Linked DNA regions of Arabidopsis thaliana. The protein of the gene in region 1 interacts with the protein of each later gene in a pairwise test. Each region holds a gene or a part of one and is shown on either strand. Other genes may lie near its edges.

Region 1 (4,555 bases):
AACTTAAACCTGTTAATAAACTTAACATTGATATAATTATGGTAAAATAGAGAACAATGAATTATGTTTGACAAGATCTTCCTTTTCAAATTATTTAATTTAATCTTTGCATATTTAGACTTGCAGCAACTGTCAACAAGTCGGACACAACAAACGTTCATGCAAGCGTAAAGCAGTGCCAAAACCACCCAAGAAACCTCAAGGACGACCAAGGAAAAAACAGAAAACAATGGATGAAGAGAACCCTATCACTCAACCAATACAATCTTCTCTTCAAAGTTAATGCTTGACAAGTCTTTACTTTAGAATATCTTGTCCCTCTGAAACGATTGTTTTTTTTTGTGACAAATATTGTTGTGTTGCAACAGCTTCGATAGTTATGTTGGTTGGATTTATTTAAGCATGACTCTTTGGATTATTTTAAGTTGTTGTGTCTTTCTTTCAGCTTCTAAAATCCAAACTAATTAAGCAATTCAAAATCATTTAGAACACTAAACGTTTTTTTTGTAATAAATTCAAAACAGTTTTAAAGAACATCATGTGGTTTTTGCGCTAAATACAAATGTCTCGTTGTTGTTTTTTTTGGAAATTAATATCCCATTAATATTTAATACTGTGGGGTTAAGTTTATTAACAGGTTTTAGTTCAGGGTTTGTTTTACTAAAAACATAGTTTAGGGTTTAAAAATGGATCTGGCCAAAGTTGAGGGTTTTTTTCATTAAATTCCCAATGATGTTTACTAAACTAACTAAAACAAGTAATAACAAATAAACTTTAATCACTATCTTCTGATCTCATTGATGACACGTCACTATCAATATCTTCTAATTCTTCTTTATTATCTCGAAGGAATTCTGGTTGCTTATATCCGGCTCTGGTCCAATCATAAGACATGCTTGAGCTTCAGGAGAATCTGGGTTCATTCTTGATCGAGTTTCATCTAGTATTTGACCTCCAATGCCAAAAGCTCGCTCGCTCTTCCATCCATGAATGATTTGAAAGTATTACCTGCATCTGCATCACTAAACTCAAAATTTGTAGATAAATAATTTTCAAAGAGCTTTTGGACTAACATAGATATGCCATGAGTTGTCCATAATAAACTGAAACATGTAGTGAAGAACCCTAATCTTGATCACTTTGGATGCTTCTTCATCAAAAAGAATTAGTGATCCTTGTAAACTATAAAATAAAAATATCATTAATACAATTTACAAACTTTTATATATATTACATAATTATAAAATTTTAAAATCCACTAATTTTAGAAAACATATTATCCTGTAATATATCGCTGATCAATTCCTAGTTGTTTATAATTTTTGGTGTGATCATATATATTTTCAGTTGGTATATGTCACCATGCAACCTAATTTGTTTCTTTCAAATAATTATATTCTAATTCATATAGTTTTATCTTTTTGTGGTCTGGAAATTCAAAAGTTTAACCCTAACCCTAAGTAAAATATCTCATGCCTACCCTTAAAAAAATAAAAAATAAGCAGCAGTCCATAATTCCATTATAGAGAAAACCAAAACCAAAACCACAATCTCATCAACCAAATATTATTAATCGTCCGATAACCCAATCTCTCTTTTCTCCAAACGCTTTTTTTTTTCTCTCACTTCAAAATCTCCCCGAGACCTCTCGCCTTCTCTCGCAGCCGACGATCCCATCCAAAACCAACGCTCTCCGGTGATCGTCTTTCCTTTACCTCGCCGACCTTCTCCGTCTTCTCAATTACGATCTATCATCACCAGAATCCGTTTTCTCTCTTTTAACTCCGATACAAAACTTCCGATAATCCCAAATAAACGTTACGAATTTCAGACTCTTTTTTCCAGTTTCTGTTTGAATTCGATTTCGAAGGATTAGATTCTCCGGTGAGATTTTTAGAAGCGTGTTTGATTTTTCAAATCAAAGTTTGTCAAAACTCTTAGCGTGAATTTTCTCCAGAGTTTATCATCTCTTATGTGACTGTGTTTTAATAGCTTCTTCTCTATAGCTCTTCCTTTGTGCTTCTTCTCTGGGAAACTTCTCTATTCGTATACCTAATTCTAGGGTTCGTTTATCCTAACAATTCGAGATTTAGAGGGCTTTAGGATTCGATTTCGTGTTTTAATCGTGTGGATCTGCTTTCAATTCGTTTATCGTTTCGTTCCACTGAATTGAGTTTGTTGATTGCTTAGACTTTTATCCTCGTCTTGTTGTTTGCTCAATTGAAGAGCAGAGTAGCTTCCGTTAGATCTGCTTTGTTGTGGCATTGATGGAGAGGAGAAATCAATTCATGTTACGTGCTCCTGGAATTCTGGAATAATCTTAATTTTCAGTTGAAACAATGCTTTGCTTCTCTTATTTTCCTGTTAATCAATAACTAAGTGTGAAGTGTGGTTTTTATCGAATTTTTTTAGTATCATTTTGATGCAGGTTATTAACTCATTCGTCTTCTTCTTTTTCTTAGTTCTACTGAGACGTTAGAAGAATTGTGGCTGTTGTCGACTGCAAGGAGAGCGCTTACTTTAATTGCTGATTTCATGAGACGAGATGGCTTTCTTTAGGAACTACTCAAACGATACTGTGTCACATAATGTTCTTGATGAAAATGAGGAGCGGCAAAATGCTGCTACTTTTCAGAGTTCACCTTTGAATGAAGATGTGGATGGTACTTATAGTGAAAGAGGCTTTGACATGAACATGGACGTACAGTATCAAAGTGACCCAGAACCAGGATGTAGTATTAGGCAGCCAAATGAGACAGCAGTTGATAATGTAGCTGATCCTGTGGATTCCCATTATCAATCTTCGACAAAGAGATTGGGTGTAACTGGTAGATGGGGTTCCACATTTTGGAAAGATTGTCAGCCAATGGGACAAAGAGAGGGTTCTGATCCTGCCAAAGATTCACAATCCGGTTACAAAGAAGCATATCATAGTGAAGATAATCACTCAAATGACCGGAGTGAAAAGTTAGATTCTGAAAATGAAAATGATAATGAAAATGAGGAGGAGGATAATGAAATGAACAAGCATCAAAGTGGTCAAGCTGATGTCCCAGCAGATGAAATGTTGTCTGATGAATATTATGAACAAGATGAAGATAATCAAAGCGACCATGTGCACTACAAAGGGTATAGTAATCCTACAAATTCTAGATCACTGCCAAAGGCAGGATCTGCTGTCCATAGCAACTCAAGGACTTCAAGAGCAATTCACAAAAACATTCACTATAGTGATAGTAATCATGACCACAATGGGGATGCTGATATGGACTATGAAGAGGAGGAAGATGGTAAACTCTTTTAATTTGGATTCCTAAATAGATTTGACTCTGTTGTTTGTTTGTACGCAGTACTAGAACTTACGTCTATGTTTTTTCCTCTGAATACTTCCCACGTCAAGTGCTTGGTTTGAACTTCAGTAACATTTGATCTTATTTCTCATCAGAGGATGACCCTGAAGATGCTGACTTTGAGCCCTATGATGCTGCTGATGATGGTGGTGCAAGTAAAAAGGTTTGACTTCTTACAATTCTTGTGTTGGGATACATGTTCATCACAATGAAGCTAAAACTGAACAAAAGAAGGGAGATACTTTCTGAACCATTTCTTAACTAAGTTTGCTATTCGGAAGGATCTTCATTTATAGTTAACATGTTGTGTTCTAGCTTGTTACTTGTTATAGTTTTGATGGGATTTCTTACATGTTACAACTGTGTGGTTGTTTGATTTTAGCATGGCCAAGGTTGGGACGTTTCTGATGAAGACCCTGAGAGTGATGAAGAAATTGATCTTTCCGATTACGAGGACGACTACGGAACAAAAAAGCCCAAGGTTAGGCAACAAAGTAAAGGTTTCCGGAAATCAAGCGCTGGACTCGAACGAAAATCATTCCATGTTTCTAGTCGACAAAAGAGGAAAACATCATATCAAGATGACGACTCAGAGGAAGACTCTGAAAATGACAATGATGAGGGTTTTAGAAGCCTGGCCAGAAGAGGCACAACTCTCCGACAAAACAATGGAAGGTCCACCAATACCATAGGACAGAGTAGTGAAGTTCGCAGCTCCACCCGATCAGTTCGTAAAGTCTCTTATGTAGAGAGTGAAGACAGTGAAGATATAGATGATGGGAAAAATCGTAAAAACCAAAAGGTATGATATCTTGTTACATTTTTTAAGGTTATACATTTTTACACCCTCAACTTGCTTATGTTATCGTGTGGGAATCTAATACATTTGATAGAGACTGGCAGTAGTTTCATGAGCCTTCTCTAAAGCGGTCTAAATAACTCATTGCTATAGTTATAATCTGCACGTCGTACATATTATCTTTCTGTTGGAAACATGTTAAATTTGGAGAACTTACGGTCTTTTGATTTGATTAACTCCAACTATTTGACCTAGAGCAGCCATTAATTTCAACTACTTGGCCTAGAATGAAAGCAATTTCTTTAGAAGCCTTGCCCAGCTACTTAATGAACTTTTTTGTTATGTTATTCCCTTTTATCTGATATATGCTCGTTAGGATGACATTGAAGAGGAGGATGCTGATGTT
Region 2 (6,807 bases), on another chromosome or scaffold:
CTGGGGCGTAGAAAGGGTTTATGGTGATGAAACGAATATTTCGTGGACTAGAGTTTCAGATCTGGGCTCTTCACCCAGAATTTGAAGAAACAACCCTTGGCTGTCTGAGTAAATCCTTTTTCGCCCACTATAATGAAAGTTTTTGTTTTGGTGTTCCCTTTGAATTGCCTATGATGATAAAAACAATTATCTTAGCGGATTTCAGTGAGGTTTTTTTAAAATCAATGATCTGAATTGTTACACACACTGAGGCTTTATTAGTTTGATTTGTTTTTGTTTATTGGGGAAATTTGGTTTGCGATGATGATAAAATAGCACGAAGGTGCGTGAAGGGCAGTGGACAAAGCAATGAAAATTTGTTTTGCCGTGAGCTCTCTTTAATAAACGACTTCTCCTTCCACTGAGCATTTTTTAGATCTTCCCTAAATCTTTGTGTTTGTTATTATTGTTGTTAATAATGAATGGCGTCTTTTACCAATTCTGAAGGATTAAATATGGTTCCTTTAGGTATAATGGCATTGACGCAATATTGATTGTGGTATATCCTGATCATTTGGCTTTTTTTTCTATGTTATTTGATCCTGGAAATGCCTCACACATTTGTTCTATCTTCTTTTTCATTATTTACGAATTGGGTTTCCTCTGAATTTACGATGAGGTTTGTTGGTTGAATATAAAGTTGTTGGAGCGAGATGGATTGTTTGGAGTGCAATGATGTTTTCTTTTCTCAGATTTGGTTTTTCTAACTGAAATTGATGATTGTTCTGTTTTATTATTCGATTAAGACCGTCTCCAATATTAATCCCTATTTTTTCGTTGGAGATGCTCTTGCTTCTTCCTGTTTTAGTTGTCAAAAGTCTTATGATTGTTAATCATTTGATTAAAGACATTCGCATACAATTCTGTTATCAATAATGAGAAGGAAAATGTGATGATTTAACATACGGAACAATTATGGTTGCTGTCATTACTTATACGAGTTCGATGTTGAGAATTGTTGGTGGATAATTTGTGTTGCCTTCTTGATTTCCTGCGTTGAAACAAAAAGGTTGCCACATTTTGCTGGATGAAGAATTGTTGGTTCTGTGTGATGTTGTTTATGTGATCTTCAGGTGTGATCTTACATGAGAGACTAAAAAGAGAGCAACGGGTTTGGTTTGAGTTTGTTTAGGTCAAACCATCAGAGAGACATTACGAGATATCGTATCATACCCTTGGGCCAATTCTGCAATATGCGTTGGAGTTTTGTTAATCTTGATCATACCTTTCATATGCCTATTATCGGCTTTATTGACTTAGTTGTATCACTTGGTCCTATACTCCTTGTTCCCTTTCTCTGATAAGTCTATGACTTCGCTGTTATGATCATTGCGTTTGGTTTTTGTCGTCCCTGTTTGTAAATTTGCCAAGATTGAAAATGTAATTTCGAAGAACCAAAATTGTATCACAAGGCAAATATTTTATATACTTCTAACTCTCCCAAAATATCGAGCATTATCTTAATATCTTTACTATGTCAACTTTTGGCAAAACTTTATTAGAAATCTGAAAATAAAACTCACAAGATTAATTATTTTTCAGAAAAGAGAAACTAATATATAGGACTTACCTATATTAATTGTTTAGAGATATTCATACTCCATTTACTTGAACTTTTTTATTAAGTGTTCAGATTATGTTCCATCTCTTGTATTTTATTGCTTTTTTCTCTACACATAAGAACCTTTCAGTTTCCATTTATGAAGATTTATAAAATGGTACAGATACTTTAGTAAAATGTTGTATCATTATATGGAGAGATGTACAAATTTATATAGAGATAATATTCAGTAATTTAATTTAGACAGATCATACAAATGTTAATAACAAAAAAGAAAAAGAAAAAAGACAAAACTGGAATAGAATTAGAGAACTAAATACCTCTAATTAAACCGGATTTGATGGTAGTATACAAAACCAAAATCTTGACATTTTGTTAATCCTTCGAATACATAAGGGCAAAATAGTAAAATACCAGCTCTGTTTTTACTTATTTTCTTTCTTAAAAGAAATATATAAATACGAAGGATCGATCCTTAAATTGTTTCAGCTTTCTTTTTGTTTTCATTTTCCGGTAATATCATTTTCGTCCGACTTGTTTTCTCCTCCTTGCCGTTAAGTTCCATTGAAGAAGAAGAAGAAGAAGGTGTGATTCAACGATAAACCTAGCGAGAAAACGAACCGCATAAAATCGCCATTGTAGGTTTTCGATTTTCTCAGTCTTACATAGCTCGAAATTGATGTATAACTGGTTTTTATTCATGCTCGATTCTAGAGATTTTTAGAAAATCCTATTCCAGTGAGAATCTAGAGATTTCCATTTTGAAGCGTTTCTTCTGTTTCGTATGTAGGAACGAGACGGTGGTGTTAATCTATGGTTATGGAGGTTTGCTTGACTTTTTGAGGTTGGCTTGACTTTTGAAGTTTTGATCTGAAGAAAAGAGGTTTCGTTGTAATTGGTTTATACATCATGTCTGGGTCGAGTATGTATAAGACGAAGCTTTGTATTCTGTTCAATAAGACTGGTGATTGTTCGAGGCCGAATTGTACTTTTGCTCATGGAAATGCTGAGCTTCGTCGTCCTGGCGAATCTTCTTTTACAGGTAATGTTTTCGTTTATGCATTTGAATAGGCTATTTATTCTGGTTTAAGTTTGTTAATGGTGGAAGGATTGATGAATTTATGAGTGCTTCTTTTTATTAGAGTAAAATAGAAAAGTTTTTATTTAATTAAGTCTCTTTTGCTTAGACTTTGCAAGATTTTTATATTATACTTTGATGATTCTGTGAAGTATTTTTCTTCTGAAGTTTTGTGGTTCAATGCATTTGCTTTGTGAGTATTATTCCATATTTTATGAGATTGTGTAAAACGTTTCAGCCTACAGTGTTCTGTTTGATAAACACATGGTAATGGTATCAGTATTATACTTTGCTTTGGATTTGGTTTTCTCCATATCAACTTTTACTGACTAGTTTTGTCCTGCGGAATCATTCTGGAATATGCAGAAAGATAGCTACTCACAGGCTTAGTATTATTTTTTATCCGGGAATGGAATCTACTGGTCTTTCTGGCTGCAATTTATATTGGTTTTCTTATTGGAGTGGAATCTGCTGGGTTTTTTTGTGGTGAAATTTATCTTGGTTTTCTTATTGCTCTTGAAAGCACATTCTTTATGAAGAAAATCTATCATGGGTTTTGCGGGGTACTTATTCTTCGACAACTATGGTTTTCAGACTCCCGAGATTTGGTTGCAAGCAATGCTTGTTATTAGGATTTATCAATGCCTGTTGTTATTACTTCTGGCATTTTCATACTTCCAGTTATGTATGTGGAGCACGTGGTATTTTCTGTGATTATTTATATCTTCAATGGTCTTTCAAGCGGTTTCTTGGATCAAGAAATATGCAGTTTATGGGGGTTTGATTGTCAGTATATCAAATTTGGTGGATTTTGATTGTGTAATTAAATGGAACTTCAAGATTGGTTCTTATTTTCTCTCGTCCAACATAATCTGAAGCCTTCTCAACCTATGATTTATCAATGAGATTCAGTGACTCCACTTATTTAGTACCCAATTGTGGTTTCTTTCCAACTGCTGGTAAGAAGAGGACATTATATTGTGGTCTCTTTGAACTGGGAAGTAATCACCATTACGTTTTTCTTTATGTTACTAGTAGTTTTCTGTGATCTTATCCAAGTGTTGTTGACTGGCATGATTCTGATTGTTTGAAATGGAGTTCACATCTGTAGCACAAGTATGCTTTACTGCAAAGTCTGTTTCGTCTACTGCAGGAAGACGTCACAATATGGATAGTGACTTAAGAGATAGACGTCACAATATGGATAGTGACTTAAGAGATAGACTTGGTAGACAGTTTTCTCCAGAGCGGAGACCTTCCTTAGACAGAAGTGGAAGACGGGTACAAAGGTTTAGTGGTAAGATCTACAGCTTTGGGTTTATGGAGTTCTGTTGTCGATTAGGCAGAGTCAAAAGTCTCTGTCAACTGTTTGTTCTGTATTTCTTTCTTTTCTTATTACCGACGGAATTCAAATTTGCAGGACATGACAATTCTATGCCATTTGAGAATCGAAGGTATCTTCTCCCCTCGGTTTTGCTTATGCTCATGCTATGTGAAATTTCAGTGGTAATTTGATGGCCATGCTTTAACAATGCGGCTTTATATTTCTTATTATCACAGAGATAAAGACTACAGGGAGAACCGTAGATTTGATGAACGACGTGATTATGCTGGTGGTTTGAAAGTTGGGAATAGGATTGAAGACAGGGCAGAAGATGGAAGAAATAAGTTTCATGGTTACAATAATGTTCTGGAAGAGCAGGTTCGAAACTTTCATTTTCTTGGTTGGGTGTTAGTTGAGGACGTGATTTCGCTTTATCTTAATCTAATGTTTAGTGGATGTAAACATTTGTAAAGATGTTGCTAAAGGACCCAAGTCCAATTTGTCTATATGCAGTTAAAAGATGTAGAGATGGATGTTAAGATGCTAACTGATGACAAACTACGATTGGAGGTAAATTTCTCCATTCCACAATTGATTTGATTGCATCGTAAATACGAGTTAATTGACAAATTTCTTTTGTCCAAAGGCGTCCGTTGAAAGGAAGGCACATGAAGTAGACATTCTTACTTCTAGGATCCAGGAGCTTGAGACCCAGTTGGATAGAGAGAAAGATGAATGTAGGAGGTAATGACTAATTCCTTTTTGATGTTTGCTTGAAATTAATTATGATGCGATATACTTGAAGAAACTTTATTTGGCAAATCTGGGACTTGATCTTCTGGTGACAAGTATTGTTCAATCCTTTTGTGTGTCAGGATTACTTCAAGCTCGAAGAAATTTGTGAAAGAATATAACCGTTTCTTGCGGGCACAAGATGATCTAAAGAGGCAAGGCATTTATCTCTATTTCTAATTGCTTCTTATTTAAGAATGCAAAAATTCATTCAATAACACAATGCCAAACCTATAGGTCAGAAGCCCGTCTTCAGAAATTGGGAAACCAACTTAGTACGTATCTTGCTGGAAGTGAAGGCAATAATAGGGATGTAGGCCTGGATATTGTGAGCGATGAAGAGACTAATGGTCGGAATTTGAGAACTGCTTGTGATCCACATAACGAGTTGCAGAATACTTCTTCACTGTCCAGGAAAAAGCATTATGTGGATCAATATACTACGAAAGAACCTGTTGAAGATGGTAAACTTATCTATACTATTAGATTTATGTCTAAACTAAAAATCAGTTCATACACACGTTATGAACCTTCTCCATCTGTTTTAGGCTTGATAGGGAGAGGTGAAGAAGAGAAGGTGGAGAATGAGAAGAAGAGACCACCTTGTTGGAATATGCTTTCTTCAAAATCATATTCTGAAGAAGAAAGTGGAGCGTGGAACGATGAAGACACAATTAACAGGTCCTCGTCAAAGGAAGACAATTGGAAAAGAAGAAGGTTCTCTATTGGCACCTCAGCTACCGATAAGGTACATCATCTTTCTTCTTCTGCAGAAATGGTGTTCACTTGAAGCAGATCGACGTTGGGGATCATGTTAATTCTTAGTGCTTTTGATGATCTTTCACGTTGTAGATGTGTTTTTGTTAAAAGCCGAGATAATAGACTTGGTTACATGGTTACGGTGCTTCAGGTTATATTGTCTACGAGTATGGCAGCTCGGGAATTTGATGATGTTGCAGAATCTGAGGAAGAGAATCCCGAAGCAGCCAACGGCTCTCCTCTCATATCTCTTCCTCCACCCCCACCTTTCAGAGATGCCCATGTTCAGGTAAGCACGAGTAGATTCTCGAAAACTTATGTTGGTAAACTAAATTTGCCAAAAAGTAAGTACTCGGAGATGATGATCCTCACGAATCTCGTGTGCTTTGTGTTCAGAGAGACGAGGATGATGTAAACGGTGATGTGATGGAACAGAAGAAAGCCTATGACGATGATTCCGTCTGATCAAGACTTTGAACATTAAAAAGTAGCCTGTTTGTTAGGTGCAATATTGACGACCATGATTAGAATCGGTACATGCTTTGTTCATCATCTTTAGATATATATTGAAAAAGAACTAAAGCTTGATCTTCAAACGAAGATGTCCTTTTATTGTTTCAATGTTGCGTAGAGAAACTAACGCCATACTCTTTATTTCAGTAGTGATTTCCAGTGTAATCACTATATAGGCAAAATTGAAAATTTCTGTTCTTTTGAAAACAAAAATTATGCTTCAAATTGATGAAGAATCTTCAAGACACTTAGAGCACTTGCAGCTGAAACCATAGTCTGCAAGTAATGCTTGTCTCTCTTTGTATGGAAGCTCCTCGTCGATATATGAAATCGTCACCTGTTGTTTTACATATGGAACTCAAAAGCAAGCTCTCTTTTCCAAAATATTCAATTGCTATTACGATTAAAGAGAAGATGCGTACCTCTTCGTTCTTGCTGATGCGTCTTAATGCAATTATCACTGCTTGTCCGTCTCTGTCCTGCAAAACCCACAAGACAAACGAGTTACACTTGGATTCAGTCTGAAAGTGTTGATGAAAAATCTTCGATCCTTAAGATTTGTAGGCCATAAAGAGGACGAAGATGTAAGAAGGATACCTCTTCTCTTTTGAAGGCTTTTGCATTAGGGCAACAAGAATGGTTCATACAGCTTTGCAGAGGGAAGAAGGCCGTTCCTAAACACAAATACAGATGATGTAATAATGTCAAATCTTGGTTACAAGTTACATAACTCCTCTGTTT

The links.
Region 2: the proteins of CHR5 (region 1) and AT3G21810 interact in a two-hybrid assay, tested with the Arabidopsis thaliana proteins (one large-scale study listed by BioGRID).

The regions. Positions count from the first base shown.
Region 1 is NC_003071.7:5,553,534-5,558,088, reverse strand, and holds the start of CHR5 (chromatin remodeling 5), read left to right. Parts: upstream 1-1,528; 5' UTR 1,529-1,884; exon of another isoform or gene 1,885-2,290; intron 2,291-2,462; 5' UTR 2,463-2,545; coding exon 2,546-3,290; intron 3,291-3,445; coding exon 3,446-3,513; intron 3,514-3,732; coding exon 3,733-4,152; intron 4,153-4,525; coding exon 4,526-4,555. UniProt on the Arabidopsis thaliana protein: DNA-binding helicase that specifically binds to the promoter of target genes, leading to chromatin remodeling, possibly by promoting deposition of histone H3.3. Probable chromatin remodeling factor.
Region 2 is NC_003074.8:7,682,343-7,689,149, forward strand, and holds AT3G21810 (Zinc finger C-x8-C-x5-C-x3-H type family protein), read left to right. Parts: upstream 1-2,013; 5' UTR 2,014-2,238; intron 2,239-2,390; 5' UTR 2,391-2,509; coding exon 2,510-2,642; exon of another isoform or gene 2,643-3,770; coding exon of another isoform or gene 3,771-3,831; coding exon 3,832-3,975; intron 3,976-4,098; coding exon 4,099-4,132; intron 4,133-4,238; coding exon 4,239-4,380; intron 4,381-4,515; coding exon 4,516-4,572; intron 4,573-4,648; coding exon 4,649-4,746; intron 4,747-4,877; coding exon 4,878-4,949; intron 4,950-5,031; coding exon 5,032-5,258; intron 5,259-5,342; coding exon 5,343-5,542; intron 5,543-5,704; coding exon 5,705-5,842; intron 5,843-5,949; coding exon 5,950-6,018; 3' UTR 6,019-6,274; downstream 6,275-6,807. Other genes in the region: histone-lysine N-methyltransferase ATXR2, read right to left, coding at 6,287-6,403, 6,489-6,545, 6,664-6,740.